Linked DNA regions of Canis lupus familiaris. The protein of the gene in region 3 purifies or fractionates together with the protein of the main gene of each other region. This does not show direct contact. Links are inferred from orthologs where the notes say so. Each region holds a gene or a part of one and is shown on either strand. Other genes may lie near its edges.

Region 1 (4,222 bases), on a different chromosome or scaffold from region 3:
AAATTTAAAAAAAAAAAAAAAAAAGAAAGAAACCAGGGAATCTACCCCTGAAGAGGAACTGAGGCGTCCAAAGGTGATTAGGGAAGGTGAGAGAGAGATAGAGAGTGAGAGAGAGAGATCAACACGGTTCCAGCAGAGGAGAAGAAAAAACGAGTTTAACGAGAAAAATTCATGGACTGAACAAACCATTCCTCCTTACGCTTCTGAAAGTATGGTTTCTGCTTGTGAAAGCTTACACCCTCCGCAGAGCTGATGCTCCCAACCCACTAACCGTGCCTACCTTTGCCCAGGTCAAAGGAGAATTTGTCCTTGCGGTCCAGACTGGAGTCAAACTTGGTGCCATCTAACAGCCAGCCAGTGTAGTGGACAAAGACTCGGTCCCCAATCATGGGCATCTCCGTGCCTGTGCCCTCTCGCTTGATGACCTGGGAGGAAGGCAGAGAAGGTGAGTACTGGGAAAGCTTGCTGGCTTTCCCGGGGCATGGGGGCTGAATGAGGCACTTAAACTGCCCACACAGACTCTGATGCAAACATAGAGGGACCCTTCTGTCACACTGTAAGCAAAAGGACTAAACCTCCCGTGATTGTGACATTAAGTCTGGCTAGAAGCCAGCTGACACCCTGCCTCCATCTTTCTTGAGGTGCAATAGGACTTGGGATCCTGGAGTCCCGGGATCAACTGCCACGTCAGGCTCCCTGCATGGAGCCTGCTTCTCCCTCTGCCTGTGTCTCTGCCCCTCTCTTGTGTGTCTCTCATGAATGAATTTTTTTAAAAAAAAAATTTTTTTTTAGAAAAGAAAACCAAAAACCTCAAGACAGGGATGCCTGGGCGGCTCAGTGGTTGAGCATCTGCCTTAGGCTCAGGTCATGATCCTAGGATCCCAGGATCAAGTCCAGAATCAAGCTCCCTGCAGGGAGCCTGTTTCTCCCTCTGCCTATGTCTCTGCCACCTCTCTATTTTTCATGAACAAACAAAATCTGTAAAAAAAAAAAAAAAAAAAGAGAGAGAGAAGAAAACTCAAAACAGAAACCCGGAGTTCAAGTTTTTGCTCTATGATCTTGTATAAGTCAAGCTTTCTAGACTTTATTTGTAGACTGGTGATAATAGTCCCTATCAGGATTGGAGAATTAAACTGGTAAAAAGCTGAAAATTATTATCAGTAGAAAAGAGAGAACCATTTATGCTAGGTTTCCTCATTCTTCCTAAATGCTGGTGGTCATCATATCAGGGTCTGGTTTGTGGACAGAAATAGAATAATGGACAGGATCGCAGAAGTCCAAAAGAGGCTGTGAAAATACCAGGTCACCGATGGGCACAGGGGCACTGAGACTCAGGACAGGAGCATTCACTTGATTGGGAAGCAAGTGAAGTGTTTTGAGAACTAGAGCCTTTCTCAGGAAGATTTGCTGCTCTTCTTTAGCATTTATATAAGGGGACAAGGAGACTCCATGGATCACCTGGAACGTATGTGGTTACCTATTAAGGGAAAGCCTGCATAACAGAATGGGCAGAAGCCTTGAAGAGTACAAAAGGGAGGGAGTGGAAGAGAAAAGGGCAAAGGACCCTTCTGGGAATAATAAACTTGTAGAAACCATCAGGACGCTGGAGAGAGAAGAGAAAGCCACATGCTCACTGGGAGAACAGCTTAAGATTCCGAGATCTGGGCAAAACCAGGACCGTTTCTGGACCAGTTTATGGGTTCCCTGAGGTCTCCAGCTTTGCCCAGGTCTCTCTCGCTCTCTCTCACGCAACTAAGCAGTGGGAAGCCAGGATGAAAAGAAACACTGCATGAGGAGGAGGCATGAAATCCAGCCTGGGATTTCGCCATCCTGTACTGCACAGAACCTGCTCTGAAGCACCATCAAGTCGCCCTGACCCAGGTCAAGATGCCCTGCCCCCCGAGGCCCGGCCCCCTCCCTCCGCGGCTCCGCGGCTCCCAGCAGAGCACCTCCTCCCGGCCCGCAGCCCGGCCCCGGCTCACGAGGGGGAGGGGAACTACAGGTCCCGGCATGCCGCTCGCTGGCCCTCCCGGGGCGGGGGCGGGGGGAGGGGGCCAGCATGGCTGGGCCGGTGACCTCGCTGGGTCCCAGCCTCTGGGAAGGGGGCCGCCGGGGGGACGGAGGGCGCCACCGGCTCTGCTGGCGCCAGGCCCCGGGCCGGGCCAGGTCGCAGCAGAACCTCTGGGCCAGGAGAATCAGTCCGGTGGCCGCTCCGGGTCCGAGCTCATGTTTAACTGCCCGAGGCAGCCGAGATCTCGCAGCAGCGCCCGCGGACGCGTCCAGGGGCTTCCCGGCTGCAGCTGGCGGCGGGGCGGCGGGGCGGCGGGGCCGGGGCCGGGTGCGGGGGGCGGCGGGCGGCGTCGGGGCCGGCCCGGGCCCCCTGGCGGCACCTCGCGTGCCACCGGCGGCCCCGCCCCTCCCTCCGCGCTGCACCGCGCACGCCGGAGTTGGCGCTGCGGTCGGGCCCGGACGCCGCGGAACGGCCGAGGCCCCCGCGCACCCCGCCGCCCGACAACGCAGCCCGGGCCGGGAGGGCGATGCACGGGGCCGCGGGCGCACGCCCGGCTCACGGCGCGCGCGGACGCTGCAGGGGCGCCCGGGGGTCCCCGGCTCGGCGGGAGGCCGGCCGCCCGCGCCGCCGCCGCGTACCTTCAGCACGCCTTCGTCCTGCTTGGGGCTGACATCCACCCCCTCGAGGGGAAGCGGCGCCGACTGCGCCCCGCTCTCGGCCGCCTTCATCTCCTCGGCGGTCATCGCCGCTCGGTGCGCCGTTTACGCCGGGAGCCGGGAGCCGGGCCGTCTGCTGGGGGAGGCGGGCGGGAGGGCGCTGGCGGCGGCCGCCCGGCTGCGCACCGGCCTCGGGCTCCAACACCGCTGGCTCCGGCGCGCTCGCGGCCCGCGGCGGGTTCGGCGCGGGAGCGGGAGTCGGTGGGTAATGAGCGGCCGCGGGGAGCGATTGGTGCCACCCGCCGCGGAGGGAGGGGCTGGGAGGCGCAGGGGCGGGAGCGAGGGGCGGAGGGGGCGGGGGCGGAGAACTTTCTGGAGACGGCGGCCGCCGAGCCAGTTCGGGCCCTGCTGCTCGGGGTGCCTGTGTGAATGTGCGCGGCTTGGGCTTCGGGTGGGTTTTTTTTTTTTTTTTTTTTTTTTCCCCTTTCCCCCGGTTCTTTCCTCCCTGCGGCCGCCTGGCCTCCCTCTCCCCACGCTGGGGCCCTCGGACTGCGGGGGCTTCCCCCGCTCACCCGCACCCCACCCCCACCCGAGCGCCCTTCCCTGGCCCTCCCCCGCCCGTTTCCCGGTCTAACCAGATTCTTCCAGATCCTTCTCGATCCCCTGCACCAGCCCCAGGCCGAGGGTGCCCGCCGCCCCAGGTCCGCCCCAGGTCCGCCCCAGATCCGCCCCGTCGTTGCAGCCTGCGGCGTGCTGTGCCCCGACCCGCGCAGCCGGACGTGATCTCCCCGCACACGAGACGCGCATTTTTATAAGCCGGCGGCGGGCGCACGCGGCGCGGCCTCGCATCTCTGCACTCAGCGTACAGACGCTTAGAGGGCTGGGGGGAGAGAAGGGAAGGGGGCTCGGCGACCCCAGTGCTCGGAATCTGGGAGAACACCCCTGAATTCCCCAGACCCGGGAACACGTGCCGCCTTTAGCTTAAAATGGTCGGAGCAGGATTTGCAAGAAATGACCCGCTGAGCTAAGGACTCTAAATGGGACGCATATTAAAGGGACCTTCCCCAGCTATGATAGGAGGACCCTTTAGATTAATATTTAAAAATGGAAATTGTTTCAAGTCACGAAAACAGTCACTCCTTTTTACCAAAGACCCACGGCAATGAAAATTTTCTGCCTGATACTTGGTTTTCGAGTATCTACCGACTGCCTGTGAGTGCAGAGCAGCTGTGCGGCAAGTCAGAGCTCTGCAGCCCCTAGCTACCTGAATAGATAGATTTTGCCTTTGACAAAAAAGAATCATCTAGAGAGTGTCGATTTTGCTCAGCACTTAGCCCCAGTTTAACATAGTGCCTGGTGAGTGGAGTCAAATAGTTTTTGGCTGCATAAGTTTGTATTCCAATAATAATCTTTTTTTGGAGCCCTCACTATATGCCTGGCACTGTGCTGTTGTATGCAAACTGTCGCGCTTAGGTACATAATTTACCCTATTATGGATGAAATTGCAGCTCCATAAGGTAATTGGATCATTCGTTATAGCCCTGTCTGATGGAGT
Region 2 (4,271 bases), on a different chromosome or scaffold from region 3:
CCCCATGACTTACGGTTTCCCAGAATTCTTACCTCGCCTCAGCAACAACCCTCATACTTGCTGCTCTTCCTCAGCCCCATTTCAGGGACAGCCAATCCCCAGCTGGAGACCATGCCTCATCCTGGACACCTCTCCCGACGACACCTCTCCCGACCCCTCAACCCCCCGAAGCCAGGCAGTTGCCATGTTCTGTCAAGGCAGCCTCCTGAACATCTCAGATCTATTCATCCACTTCCATCCCTCCAGCCCCGCCCTGCCCTGGTCTGGCCTTCAATCTGTCCACCTGCCCGGGTTCCTGCCTCAGCCTCCTCCCTGCTCTCCCAGCCTCCAGTCCTGCCCCTCTGTAGGGGTCCAGCTAAAGCACAAACCTAACCCTGTCCTTCCCTTTCTCAGAACTATCCATGGCTCCCCAGAGTCCACAGTAGAAAGCTCAGCATCCTCCCTTGCCTCCTACACTCCGGCTCCACTTACTTCCTTGAGGCTAGGTTCTGCTCACCTTTGCCAGGATAGGCCTCTGCCATCCTGTTCTTTCTGCCTGGCATTCCCTCCTCCCTCTCACCAGCCCTCATATCCTCTCTGAAACATTTCTTGTTGGTTTCTGACCAGAGACACCTCTTATCTACCTGTCCACCATCCTTGTCTCCTTCCTACCTCCAGCTCTGCCCTTGTATCCAATCTCAGCCCGGAAGCTGGGGAATCTTACCATGCCTCCCCACCACCCTCAGGATGACATCCACACTCCCTGAACTGGCCTCCAAGGCTCCGCCTCATCTCTCACTGGTCCTCTCCTCGTGGCTGCAGCCTGACCAAATGTTCCTGCTCTGAATCCCCTTGCGCTTCCACTGAAGGCCAACTGAAGGCTGCTAAGGCTCTAGATTCCAACCCCATTTCTTTTCCCCAGCTTTGCTGCCATAAGTCTCCCATCTCTCTTGTAGGATCAATTCCAGCTCTCTACTGGACCAGACTCTTGGACTCTTCCATCCTTTAAGAGAGAGAAAGAAAGCAAGCACCTCCCTCTCTCCATTTCTCCACTCCCTTTTAGGACCAAAATACTTGAACCACTTTGTCAACATTTGCTGTCTCTACTTCACTTCCTGTTCACCCTTGGGTGTTCTCCTAGCTAATTACCAACTTCATTGTTGCCCAAAACTGTTCTTATAAACTGCCCTTCTTAGGGCTACCACCAACATTCGTGAAGCCAAATCCAATGGTCAATGCTCAGTGCTCACCCTGGTAGCACCCGACCCAAGGTACAGCCCCCCTCCTTCTAGAAGCACTCTCTTCTCTCATCTTTCCTGACACCTTTCCCAACTTCCCTTTCACTTCACTGACCACTCCTCCTCAGCCTCTTCCTCTTCTTTTCTAAACATTAGAATTCCTCAAGGTTCCAGCCCCTTCTCTCCCTAGATGACCTCATCCATTTGCAGGTGTTCTATTCCATGCATAGGCTGATCAGGCCCAAATTCCTCTCCTTGCAGCTCCAGACTGGCCCATCTGTCAACTCAATGTCTCCTCTTGAATAGCCCAGTAAAATCCAAACCAGCTTTGCAATGACTTATGAAACCCCACCTGGTCTGGCCCCGGTCCTAAACTTATCTTGTATCCATCTCCCTGCTAACTTGCTAAAGCTTCCACCACACTAGTCTTTCATTTCCTACCTCAGGGCCTTTGCACATCTGGCTGCATCCACCTGAAACACTCCTTCGCGATTCTTCTCAAATGCCTTCTCAGTAAGGCTTTCCCTGACGACGCTCTCTATAAAGTAGCCTCCAGCCCTCATTCTCTCCTTCACACCCTGTTGGGGTCTGTTCAAAGCATTCTTCATAACTTCTAAGCATTTTATTATTTCTTGTGTTTTTGCTCAATGTCTTATTCTCCTGCTGAATTACAAGCTATAAAAGGGCAGGGCCACATCTGCTTCATTCCCTGCTAAATCCCCAGAGTCTGGCACAGTCCTTAGCGCAAAGCAGGTGCTCTAGAAATATAATGAATTACTGAATGAATGAGTGCCCCCACATCTTACTCTTTTTCAAGATCGGATGTCATACTATTCTTGGGATTTCCCCACCTTTACTCCCAGGGCCTCCCACGCATCCCTTTTTCTCGTGCAACCCCCAATCTCCTTGCCCTCCCATCTAATGATCTATTCCCCACCCCTACTCTACTGGGACAGTGCCCCCGCCCCCCCGCCCCATCTCCCCACTGGGTAGCACCATCACTCCCCAGCCCTGTGTCACTACTTGGCAGCGCCCTCTTCAGGCCTCACCACAACTAGCACCTCTCAAGGACCTCACGTTCGGAAATGCCCTCGCTCCCGTCCCCCTCCCGCCGCACACTTGGTAGCGCCCTCCCCAGTCTCCCCATTTAGTAGCACCCGCTCCGAATGCCGCTTCTAGGTATCACCCCTCCTGTCAGAAGCCCCCCCTGTCGGCCCCTGGTAGCGGCATCCTGGGCCTCCCCAAGCCCGGTCACTTGGTAGTGCCTGCCCCGCGCCCAGGCTGCCGCTCCGCGTTGCCATGGTTCCGCGCGGGCCGGGCACCCCTTGCCCCGGGCCGCTCTCCACCCTCCCTGGCCCCCTCCGGGGCAGGCGCACCTTTGAAGTAGTCGTTGGCCTGCGTCTTGAGCTCCTCTGCCCGCTTCAGAGCGCCATCAGCCGGGGGCTCGTCCCGGGGGGGCTCAGCACACTCAGTCCGCTCGCCCTCCGCCATCGCCATGCCGCAAAGCGACCCCCACCCTGGCAACGGCCGCCAGCGGCACCCGGCCGAATCGTCGCGAAGGAGTGCCGAGTTGCTGCGGCCGCTGCTGCACAAGTGTCGTAAAGCGCGGGCCCCGAAGGCTCCCTTCGCGCGCCTGCGCAGGGCCCTTTCGCCATAGAGCGCGCGGAGGACAAGGTGACCAGAGGGACCCTAGACAGCGCCCTTCGTAGAAGGAGCCAATGGGGAGGGCGAAAGGGGGCGCGCGGGGCGGGGGCGAGCGGGGAAGGTCTGGCCGGGCCCGCGCTCGCGAAGTCGCCGTGTTCGAAGGCCGCCGAAGTTCTGGAGGGGTCTTCTTGGGTGGGTGGGTGTGGCTGCAAGGCAGCCCCACGCAGAACCAGAGCCGGGAGACTAGCCCTACGGCCGGTTATTTGGGTGACCTTGAGCAATTAGGGGCAATTACCCCCCTCTGAAAAATGCGTGGATTCTCAAACCAAGAGACTAAAGTTCCAACCCTGAAGGTTAACTGTATCTCCATCTGTTAACTGAAGGCGCTCTGGATGCCCTAGTCCTGAGCAAGGCCCAGAAGTTTGTTGCACCATCTCCTTTCTTCATCCTCATCTCCTAGTCCCCAGCCTGCAACAGTGGCCTTAGAAAAACCTAAACTCTTTCTACTGCATTACCTAGGAAACACTGAATAGGATAGCCCCAGGCGACATCTCCAGATGCACACACACACACCCCAACCATTACATCCTAGCAGACCATCCTCTCCAAGCCTTCAACTGCTCCTCCTGTGGAACTATGGCACTAAATCATTTAAGGCCCTGCTGGAGCTCCCATCCTACAACCACAGCTGTCCCACTTCTCAGTCGCCTTGTCCTGACAGCCTGATCCCACCACCTCGTATCATAGCCAACAATCAGCCTAGAAAGTAGATTATAGTATCAGCTCCATTTTACCACTGAGGACACCGAGGTTTGTAGAAGTCAACCAACTTCCCCAAGGTCATACAAGGAGAGTGGCAGAGCCAGGACTTCACCTTGTCCCATCTGATTCTGTGCTCTTAAGCCCTACTCCACTGTCCCTAGACTCTAGATTTTTGAGATTTTTAGAAGTGTGTATGGGAAGGCTGCTGTGATGGATTTGAATCCCGGATTCGAATCCAGCTCAGTCCTTCCCTGCTGTGTGACCCTGGCAAGTGATCATCCTCTGAACCTGTTTCCTCTTCTGTAAAATGGGGACAATAACTGTGCTTATTATATATGATTAGCGGAAATTTGATAAGATCATAGGAATAAAGTATTTGGCAGAGGGCCTAACACAGAGTAAGCACTTTTTATACACAGTCCAATAAAATACTCAGAGTGGTATCGAGTACCTAGACCTGAGAGGGGAGAGGAGGGGCTCACCCTGTTGGACAAGCAGGGAAGAGTTCCTGGAGGAGGGAATGTTTGAACCAAGAGCTGAAAATGAGTAGGAGATAACCAAGTGTGAAGGAGGAAGGAAGAAAAAAGCATTTTAGGCAAGGGAGCAACGAGGCCTGAAAGTTTTATTTCTTTAGTAGAGCACGTGGCT
Region 3 (4,171 bases):
GAATCGTTCTGGAGATAGAGCAGTCAACAAAACAAAACTTACATTCAAGTTAAATGTAGTCCAAAAATATTAAGAAATATTGGGGAAGGGGGGTAAAGGGATCAGGTCCATTACTAACTACAGTTTATCTTAATGTGTACATAGGTAACACATCACAACACTCAAACAAAACAAAACAAAAACTTTCTCTGGTTATTCGTACAGCTGAGCTTTGAATATGAGAGTTAAGGGCACCAACCCCTTAACAAAGATGAAAATCCAAGCATAATTTAGGACTCCCCTAAAACTTTACTAATAACCTACTGTTGACCAGACTCTTTATCCAAATGTAAACAATAAACACATACTTTGTATATCATATGTTATACACTGTATATTCTTCCAATGAAACTAGAGGAAAAAGGGCAGCCCAAGAGACGCAGCTAAAGCAGCTGTTTAGCATCGCCTGCAGCCCCAGGGCGTGATCCTGGAGTCCTGGGATCGAGTCCCATGTCGGGTCGGGTTCCCTGCATGGAGCCTGGTTCTCCCTCTGCCTGTGTCTCTGCCTCTCTCTCTCTCTCTGTGCCTCTATGAATAAATAAAATCTTGAAAAGAAAGGAAAGAAAGGAAAGAAAGGAAGAAAGAAACTAGAGAAAAAAAAAACAATGTTGAGAAAGTCCTTAAAAAAAAAAAAATTTCACAGGGGCACCTGGGTGGCTCAGGCAGTTAAGGGAGTCAGACTCTTGTCTTGATCTTAGGTCAGGTCTTCATCTCAGAGTTGTGAGTCAAAGCCCCACCCTGGGCTCCACAATGGCTGTAGAACTTACTTAAAAAAAAAAAAAAAAAAAAAAAGGGATCCCTGGGTGGCGCAGCAATTTGGTGCCTGCCTTTGGCCCAGGGCGAGATCCTGGAGACCCGAGATCGAATCCCACATCGGGCTCCCGGTGCATGGAGCCTGCTTCTCCCTCTGCCTGTGTCTCTGCCTCTCTCTCTCTCTCTATCATAAATAAATAAAAATTTAAAAAACAAAAAAAAAGGGTGTGTGTGTGTGCGCGCGCGCGCATGCCTGGATGGCTCAGTTGGTTAAAATCTTAAAAAAGAGGGCAGCCCGGGTGGCTCAGCAGTTTAGTGCGGCTTTTAGCCCAGGTTGTGATCCTGGGGACCTGGGATCAAGTCCCAAGTCAGGCTCCCTGCATGGAGCCTGCTTCTCCCTCTGCCTGTGTCTCTGCCTCTCTCTCTCCCTGTGTCTTTCATGAATAAATAAATAAAATCTTAAAAAAAAAAATCTTAAAAAAAAAAAAATACACTAACCTTATTGTATTTATTGGAAAAGATTTGCCTAAATGGACCCACACAGTTCAAACCCGTGTTACTCAAGAATCAACTGTACTTAGTTTTTTTTTTTTTTTTTTTAATTCATGTATTCATGAGACACACAAAGAGAGGCAGAGACATAGGCAGAGGGAGAAGCAGGCTCCCCACAGGGAGCCCAATGTGGGACTCCATCCCAAGATCACAACCGGAGGTGAAGGTGGACACTCAACCACTGAGCCACCCAGGTGCCCCAATGAGTTTCCTTTCAAGTTAACTCTTAATGGAGCACCATTATTTTTCTGAATTACAGGATCACTTTGAATTCTAAGATAAAACAATAGAAATCAGAAGACTAGCTTTTTACTAAATCTTAACCTAGTATTTTCTAGGTTTAGAAGTAAACATTTCTATTTAATAGGAAGCTTCTTAAACACTAGATTCGATGATCTCTTATACATCTCAGAGTATCTTTAAACGTCATAAAAGAGGGCAGCCCTGGTGGCGCAGCGGTTTGGTGCTGCCTGCAGCCCAGGGCATGATCCTGGAGACCCTGGATCGAGTCCCACGTCGGGCTCTCTGCATGGAGCCTGCTTCTCCCTCTGCCTGTGTCTCTGCCTCTCTCTCTCTCTCTCTCTCTCTCTCTGCATCTCTATGAATAAATAAATAAAATCTTTAAAAAAAAAACATTTAAAAAAATAAACATCATAAAAGATTATAAAAGAAAAATCATTAAAACCAAGGAAAAAAATCAGCAATAAAGAGGTTATAAAATTCAGAATTACTGATTTTTTTAAAACTAAGTTTGTCAAATAGTCTATTATTTACAAAAAGGAATCAAGACACAGGTAAATCTTTTTTAGTTTGTACTAAGTGAGGAATGATATGGAAACATGAAATTCTGCTATTAGAAAGGAAAAAAGTAGTTCCTTTTTGGACTGGGCTTTTGACTGCACATAAATTGAGCAGTGAAAAGCCCTGTCCACAAATGTCTAAAAATCCAACACTCTTTTTTTTAAAGATTTTATTTATTCATGAGATACACAGAGAGAGGGAGAGAGAGGCAGAGACACAAGCAGAGGCAGAAACAGGCTCCATGCAAGGAGGCCGTGGGGACTCGAACCCGAGACTCCAGGATCTCGTCCTGGGCAGAAGGCAGGCACTAAACTGCTGAGCCACCCAGGGATCCCCAATCCAACACTCTCTTATGCACATATTCTTTCTTCAAACAAAACCCAAGATATGCTTCTCATACTTTCAGAGTATCTGTATGTCAGTTGTACTACCATGTAAAACTTTCTAGATAGGTGATCTGAATACACATGCTGACCCAGTTGCTTCCAAATTACTTGCCAAGGTGCATCAGGGCACCACAAGAAACTTACTGGGTTGCTGCAAGATATTTTAAATTTGAGAAAAATTTAGTGATACTCAACCTCAGTTCAGACACCAGGTGGTTCAGTTTTAAAGCAGACTGCACCACATCCCTCTCCATTAATCTTCATTTCTCCAAAGTTAGAATTTTGGTGTTGCTGTGATTTAGAGGAAAAAAAGGGGGGGTGGGGGGGGAGAAAGGGACCCATAAAAAAAAACAAAACAGTAGAGAACAGAAGTTGAGATAGACATATCTAATCTGAATTCAAGTTATAAGAAGTTATACAGTGCCCAAAGGGCATTCATATTCTGTAACTGTGGTTATTAAAAACAAAACAAAACAAAAAACCTTTTTCTTTCAATTTTTGTGTATTTGCTTTTCAAAGACTACTAGGTTGTTCGGATAAATTACTTAAGTTGTTTTGACCTAACTACCTAACTAACAGAACTGCTAGGTTACTTCTTTTGGCCAGCAACACCATTAAAAAAAAAAAAAAAAAAAAAAAAAGGAAACAACAAAAAACCTACTAAGACATAAAAGGGCAAACCAAGAACATTTGTGAACCTGTGTTATTAGTTCCTTTATTTGGTAATTCCTACTCTAAACGTAAAAGTGAAAGCTGTTCTTAAAGATGGTATTTCTCCCAAGACTTAGCGCCTTTCTTCCAAGCAACTCCAACCTTCCTACACTCCCACTTTTGTGCATTCTTTTAAATATCTCCAAAGCAGATATAGTAATTTTTCTTCAGACAAATAAGACTCAAAAAAAAAAAAAAGAACAAATAAGACTCAAGGTCAACGTTCTCAGTGCCTCCAGTAGAGAAAAATTTCAGAGCCTCTGGACTCCATTATCGTATGTCAAGAAGTGGCACAGGTTTTAACAGAAACAGTTTACATAATAAGACAGAACTAGAGAGACATAGTTATTTCTTTGGAAATAAAAGGATCACTGGGAAATTATTCTTCCTTTCTGTAAAGTGGAAAAAATAACCTTTCTGTCAGAAATCCTGAGTTCCAATTCTATCTAGGACAACTCCTTATACTAATTAGCACTGTGTGAACTAGTATTTATGGAACTTAAATATATACTAAAATTTTTAAGAACACCTGTCTGTGACTTAGAGCCTTCCGTACACAAAGATAATTAAAATGCTGAGCTGGAAAGGACCCTGACAAATACTTTTTTAATAATAAAGTATGACAACATGTGAAGATCAACTACTGTACAGAAAATGCACTAAAGCACATTATGGCTTTGGAATACAATAGGGGGAAGAACATACTACTGCTCAAGGTAATGTGTAAAGTAATTGGCATCTTCCTGAAAAACCAGAAGTTCAAAGGTGTCCTAGGGAAACAGAGAAGTCAGCCTCAATTTAAAATCACTGTCAATCTACACAGTACATAATAAAGTTTACTACAATACATATTGTACTTCTGTAACAGAATACACTAGGATCAACAATTTCCCATTTAGGAACTCAGAAAAAATATCTTAAGAATTTAT
Region 4 (4,008 bases), on a different chromosome or scaffold from region 3:
AAAGGATAAGAAATAGTTTGGGTTTTTTTTTCCCCCTGTGGGAGAAGGGCAGGGGGGTAGGGAAGTAGCAGATTTTACCCTCTATGCTTTAATATTTGAGAATTCTCCTCCTACTCCCTTGAAGGTCCAGGAGACATATATGTGTTCTAATGCAGCTGGACAGACTGGTTTGTTCTTAGACATAATCAAATAGTTGACAGAGAAAATGGTGCTACATCTATGAGAACAACCTAACCGCGAATCCTAAACTAATCGAATTTAACAGAAATCATAGAGTGGTGTACAAGGATATTTCCAGTTTCATAGGTATCATGGTGTCATTATTTCTGGTGTGTTATTTTAGCTGATTTCAAATGACTCCTTGGGGAGAGAGAAGAAATGAACCGTGGGTCTTAAGAGAAGTTCACCCAAGCCAAACAGAAAAAAGTGGCGTGGATGGGGACAGATGCAGTGGTACCGCCCCAACGCACGTGGCAGCCCTGGTGTCGGGTCTAAGACAACAGTCAGCTACAATAACAAAAGTTATTGAGAAAAAGGAAAAACAAAGCACACCCTGTCCCATAGGGCAGGGTGATTTGTGGAGCGGAATCTGACCATACACTGAAGTTGTAAGGTTGGGGGCGTGTACAGTAGATACAGTCAGGACGCTCACTGCTAAAGAGAAGCATCTCTCAGCTCCGCTTCTCCCCTCTGAACCCAGAGGGATTTGATCTCTAATTCACTGCAGGAGCGCACTGGGAACTGCCATCTGAGTACCTACTATGTGCCTGGCGCTGTGATCTTCTCTCACAGGATGGACTCCAGGAATCACCAGGATTCCCGATGGAGGGGAGCACCTTCCGTGCTGGGTGACCCCGCTTTGCTCCTGCCACTCCAGACACCCACACTGCTTCAGACTCCGAGCCACAGCGAGGCTCAGAAGATCAAGGGACCAGTCACAGCAGCCTTTTTAACTTTGGGAAAACCCAATGCTCACTTCACTCAAACGTTGCAAAGTGGTGCCATGACCCTTTAGCTCTTGACTCACCAATTCAAAGAGCCACATCACATACAGCCCTTAAGCTGCCCACGGCATGATTCTGCGTCTAGTGCCTTTCCAGGTCCCCCCAAGCGGAAGACAGTTCTGGCAGGGAGTCTGGGCAAGATTACTATAATATTTAGCCTTTGTCCCTTCTTTCGCTATGTCTTATCATAGAATAAGGCACACGTGTCTGGGAAACTGGGTCCTTTGGTGTATGGTGGACTTGAGACCTGTCCTCAAAGGGTCCCTGCGGGACCTCAGGTCAGTGTAATCTGACCCAAGAAGCTCCATTTCCAAGATGAAGAAACTGAGATTCAAAGAAAGTAAAGCACGGTCCACTCTTCAGAGAGCAGCGGTAGGTTGGGTACAAACCTAATTCAACGCCATGCTTCGTGTCTCTGGAAGTTTCCTGGGCACCCAAACCAGCAGGACATGGGCAGAACTGGAGAGAACAGACTCCATTCCCTTAACCATTGGTGTGAGGATACAGATACACAACCACACTTCCTATCTGGGCCCGTAAAATGGAGAGAAGTGTGTCGGGACTCGGGAATGTGCCTTTGGGGTCTGAAACCATCATACAGCTTGAGGATATAATTATGTGTGGGTGCCTATGAACAGAGACCTATGTGAGTATACGTATGTATATTTTTATACACGACACGCTACTATTAAATACCATTTCCGACCACACATTTTGCCTAATTGCCCCGGAGGCCACGTTTTCAAAAGAAGAATCCCAAAGCGAGGTCAGGTGCGTCCGCCCTCACCGCAGCCCTTCAGAACCCCGGGGTGCGCGGTCCGTACCCCTCCGGCTTCTCTCCAAACAGCAGCGCAGAGTGAGAAGGAAGAGGAGGAGCCGAGTACTTTACACGAAATGTTAACTGTCAAGAAGTTCCCAGGAGGTGGCCGGGCCGGGCCGGGCTGGGGCTGGGGGGTGGGCTGAGCTGGGGGTGGGCTGGGGTGAGCTGGGGTGAGCTGGGGTGGGCTGGGGTGAGCTGGGGTGGGCCGGGCTGCGGTGGGGGTGGTGGGGGGTGCAGGACGGAACACGCCGCAGGAGGCCCAGGTGGAGGGCTGCAGGCTGCGGCTGCTCCAACCTGGGCCTGGGCCGGGCCGCCGATGCTCCAAGCGGGCAGCGCGCGCTCGCGCCCGGGACGCGCCTGGCTCGGCGCCCACGTCTGAGGCCAGGACCCTGCGCTCCCGCGTGAGCCCATCCGGCGCAAGCAAGTGGGAGAGCGCAGGCCGCGCGGCGGGCCCTCGGCGGCTCTGTCCCCACGCACGTGGCGCGGCTCGCGCGGGGGCACAGCGCGCCTCCCGCCCGCCCGGGGGCGGCCTCCGCCCGAGCGGCCGGCGCTAGGACCCCGCGCGCCGCGCACTTCCCCCGCCGCGGCGCCCGCCCGCCCCGCCCCCGCCCGCGCGCCCCGCCCCGCCCCCGCCCCCGCCCCCGCCCCCGCCCGCCGCCCCCGCCGCCCCCGCCGCCCCCGCCCTACCTGGCGAAGCAGTACTCGCAGTGGTTGCCCCGCTCGTTGACCGTGAGCACGTAGGCGTAGGCCGGGCAGGAGAAGAGCAGGTCCCCCACGTGGAAGGGCTGCAGGGCCCGCAGCCCCCGGCCCTTGCCCGGGCTGCAGAAGCGCTCCAGGCCGCCGTCGCCCGCCGCCCTCATGCCGGCAGCGGGGCGGGACCGGCGGGACCGGCGGGACCGGCGGGACCGGCGCCCCGAGCCGAGGCGCCCCGCGAGCTGTTATTGGAGAAGCGTCACCCAGAGCCGCGGGGAGGGAGGCCGCCGCTCCCCGGAAGGGACGCCGGCCCCGCCCGGCCCTCGCGCGCCCCCGGGGGCGGGGGGGAGGGGAGGGAGGAGGAGGAGGGGAGGGGAGGGGAGGGGAGGGGAGGGGAACCCGCCCGCGGCCCCGCCCCCCGCCCCTCGGCCGCCCGCCCCGGGCGCTTGGGGCGTCCCCGCGGGAGGGCGGACGCGGCCCCTGGTCCGTGCGTGGGCGGCGGGGGATGCACGGCCTGGGGGGGGCGGGGCAGACGGGCCGCCTGGGCCCCGCGCAGCGGACGGAGCTGTGTCTGCACCTTGTGTGCCCTGCCCTCGCCCGAGGCCCTACACGGGGTCCCCCCGAGAGGCCGAGGCCCTAGACGGGGTCACCCTGGGGCGCCCAAGACCCTACATGGGGTCCCCCCGGGCGCCCGGGAGAGGCCGAGACCCTAGACGGGGTCACCCTGGGGCGCCCGAGACCCTACACGGGGTCCCCCCGGGGCGCCCGGGAGAGGCCGAGACCCTAGACGGGGTCACCCTGGGGCGCCCGAGACCCTACACGGGGTACCCCCGGGGCGCCCGGGAGAGGCCGAGGCCCTAGGCGGGGTCACCCTGGAGCACCTGAGACCCTACATGGGGTCCCCCCGGGGCGCCCGGGAGAGGCCGAGGCCCTAGACGGGGTCACCCTGGGGCGCCCAGGAGAGGCCGCACAGTGTGGGATGCGCTGAGGGTTCAAGGGCGCCTTCCAAAGGTCAAAGGCTTGGAAGCCTCCTGAGGCTGCAGACCTTGCAGGAGTCTCCGGAGTATTCATTTTTTTTTTTTTTCTCCGGAGTATTCAGATGGGAACCTTTGCCCCTCTCGTGGAAATTAATTACATGGACAGAAGAGGAAAAGTCAGGTCAGCCTGGAGCACTGAGTCTCTGCTTTCAAGAAACTTCCTCTTCCCCGAGAAAACGGGAGATAATCTGGCCTTCAAAGAACTTAAACCCTTCCAGGGTCCCAAGTGCCATTGTGCAGCCAGAACCCTGGGCTGGAATTTGCAGTGGTCTTGATCCCTTGGACCCCTCCCTGTCATCTCAGGAAAGCTCATTTGGTTGCAAGTCACCCAGGATTTGGAAGGAACATGTGTAGCTCCTAGAATACTTAAGCCCTGAAGCCCATACACATGCATGCTGTTGGTGTCACTCCTCTGAGAAAGTAGGGTGTGATATCTGTGTTGCTACAAAGGATG

The links. The genes of interacting proteins can lie anywhere in the genome.
Region 1: the proteins of PTGES3 (region 3) and FKBP4 purify together in Homo sapiens (affinity purification with mass spectrometry; 3 studies listed by BioGRID and IntAct, with this or other methods). This does not show direct contact. The link is inferred for Canis lupus familiaris from reciprocal best matches to the Homo sapiens genes PTGES3 and FKBP4.
Region 2: the proteins of PTGES3 (region 3) and PPP5C purify together in Homo sapiens (affinity purification with mass spectrometry; 5 studies listed by BioGRID and IntAct, with this or other methods). This does not show direct contact. The link is inferred for Canis lupus familiaris from reciprocal best matches to the Homo sapiens genes PTGES3 and PPP5C.
Region 4: the proteins of PTGES3 (region 3) and SMYD2 purify together in Homo sapiens (affinity purification with mass spectrometry; 3 studies listed by BioGRID and IntAct, with this or other methods). This does not show direct contact. The link is inferred for Canis lupus familiaris from reciprocal best matches to the Homo sapiens genes PTGES3 and SMYD2.

What each region holds. Positions count from the first base shown.
Region 1 is NC_049248.1:4,083,433-4,087,654, reverse strand, and holds the start of FKBP4 (peptidyl-prolyl cis-trans isomerase FKBP4), read right to left. Parts: upstream 2,801-4,222; 5' UTR 2,755-2,800; coding exon 2,650-2,754; intron 2,306-2,649; exon of another isoform or gene 2,180-2,305; intron 426-2,179; coding exon 281-425; intron 1-280. UniProt on the Homo sapiens protein: Immunophilin protein with PPIase and co-chaperone activities. Component of steroid receptors heterocomplexes through interaction with heat-shock protein 90 (HSP90).
Region 2 is NC_049222.1:110,176,356-110,180,626, forward strand, and holds the start of PPP5C (serine/threonine-protein phosphatase 5), read right to left. Parts: upstream 2,801-4,271; 5' UTR 2,715-2,800; coding exon 2,594-2,714; intron 1-2,593. UniProt on the Homo sapiens protein: Serine/threonine-protein phosphatase that dephosphorylates a myriad of proteins involved in different signaling pathways including the kinases CSNK1E, ASK1/MAP3K5, PRKDC and RAF1, the nuclear receptors NR3C1, PPARG, ESR1 and ESR2, SMAD proteins and TAU/MAPT.
Region 3 is NC_049231.1:1,253,943-1,258,113, forward strand, and holds the start of PTGES3 (prostaglandin E synthase 3), read right to left. Parts: upstream 2,801-4,171; 5' UTR 2,786-2,800; coding exon 2,727-2,785; intron 1-2,726. UniProt on the Homo sapiens protein: Cytosolic prostaglandin synthase that catalyzes the oxidoreduction of prostaglandin endoperoxide H2 (PGH2) to prostaglandin E2 (PGE2).
Region 4 is NC_049228.1:12,142,584-12,146,591, reverse strand, and holds the start of SMYD2 (N-lysine methyltransferase SMYD2), read right to left. Parts: upstream 2,801-4,008; 5' UTR 2,685-2,800; coding exon 2,512-2,684; intron 1-2,511. UniProt on the Homo sapiens protein: Protein-lysine N-methyltransferase that methylates both histones and non-histone proteins, including p53/TP53 and RB1. Specifically trimethylates histone H3 'Lys-4' (H3K4me3) in vivo. The activity requires interaction with HSP90alpha.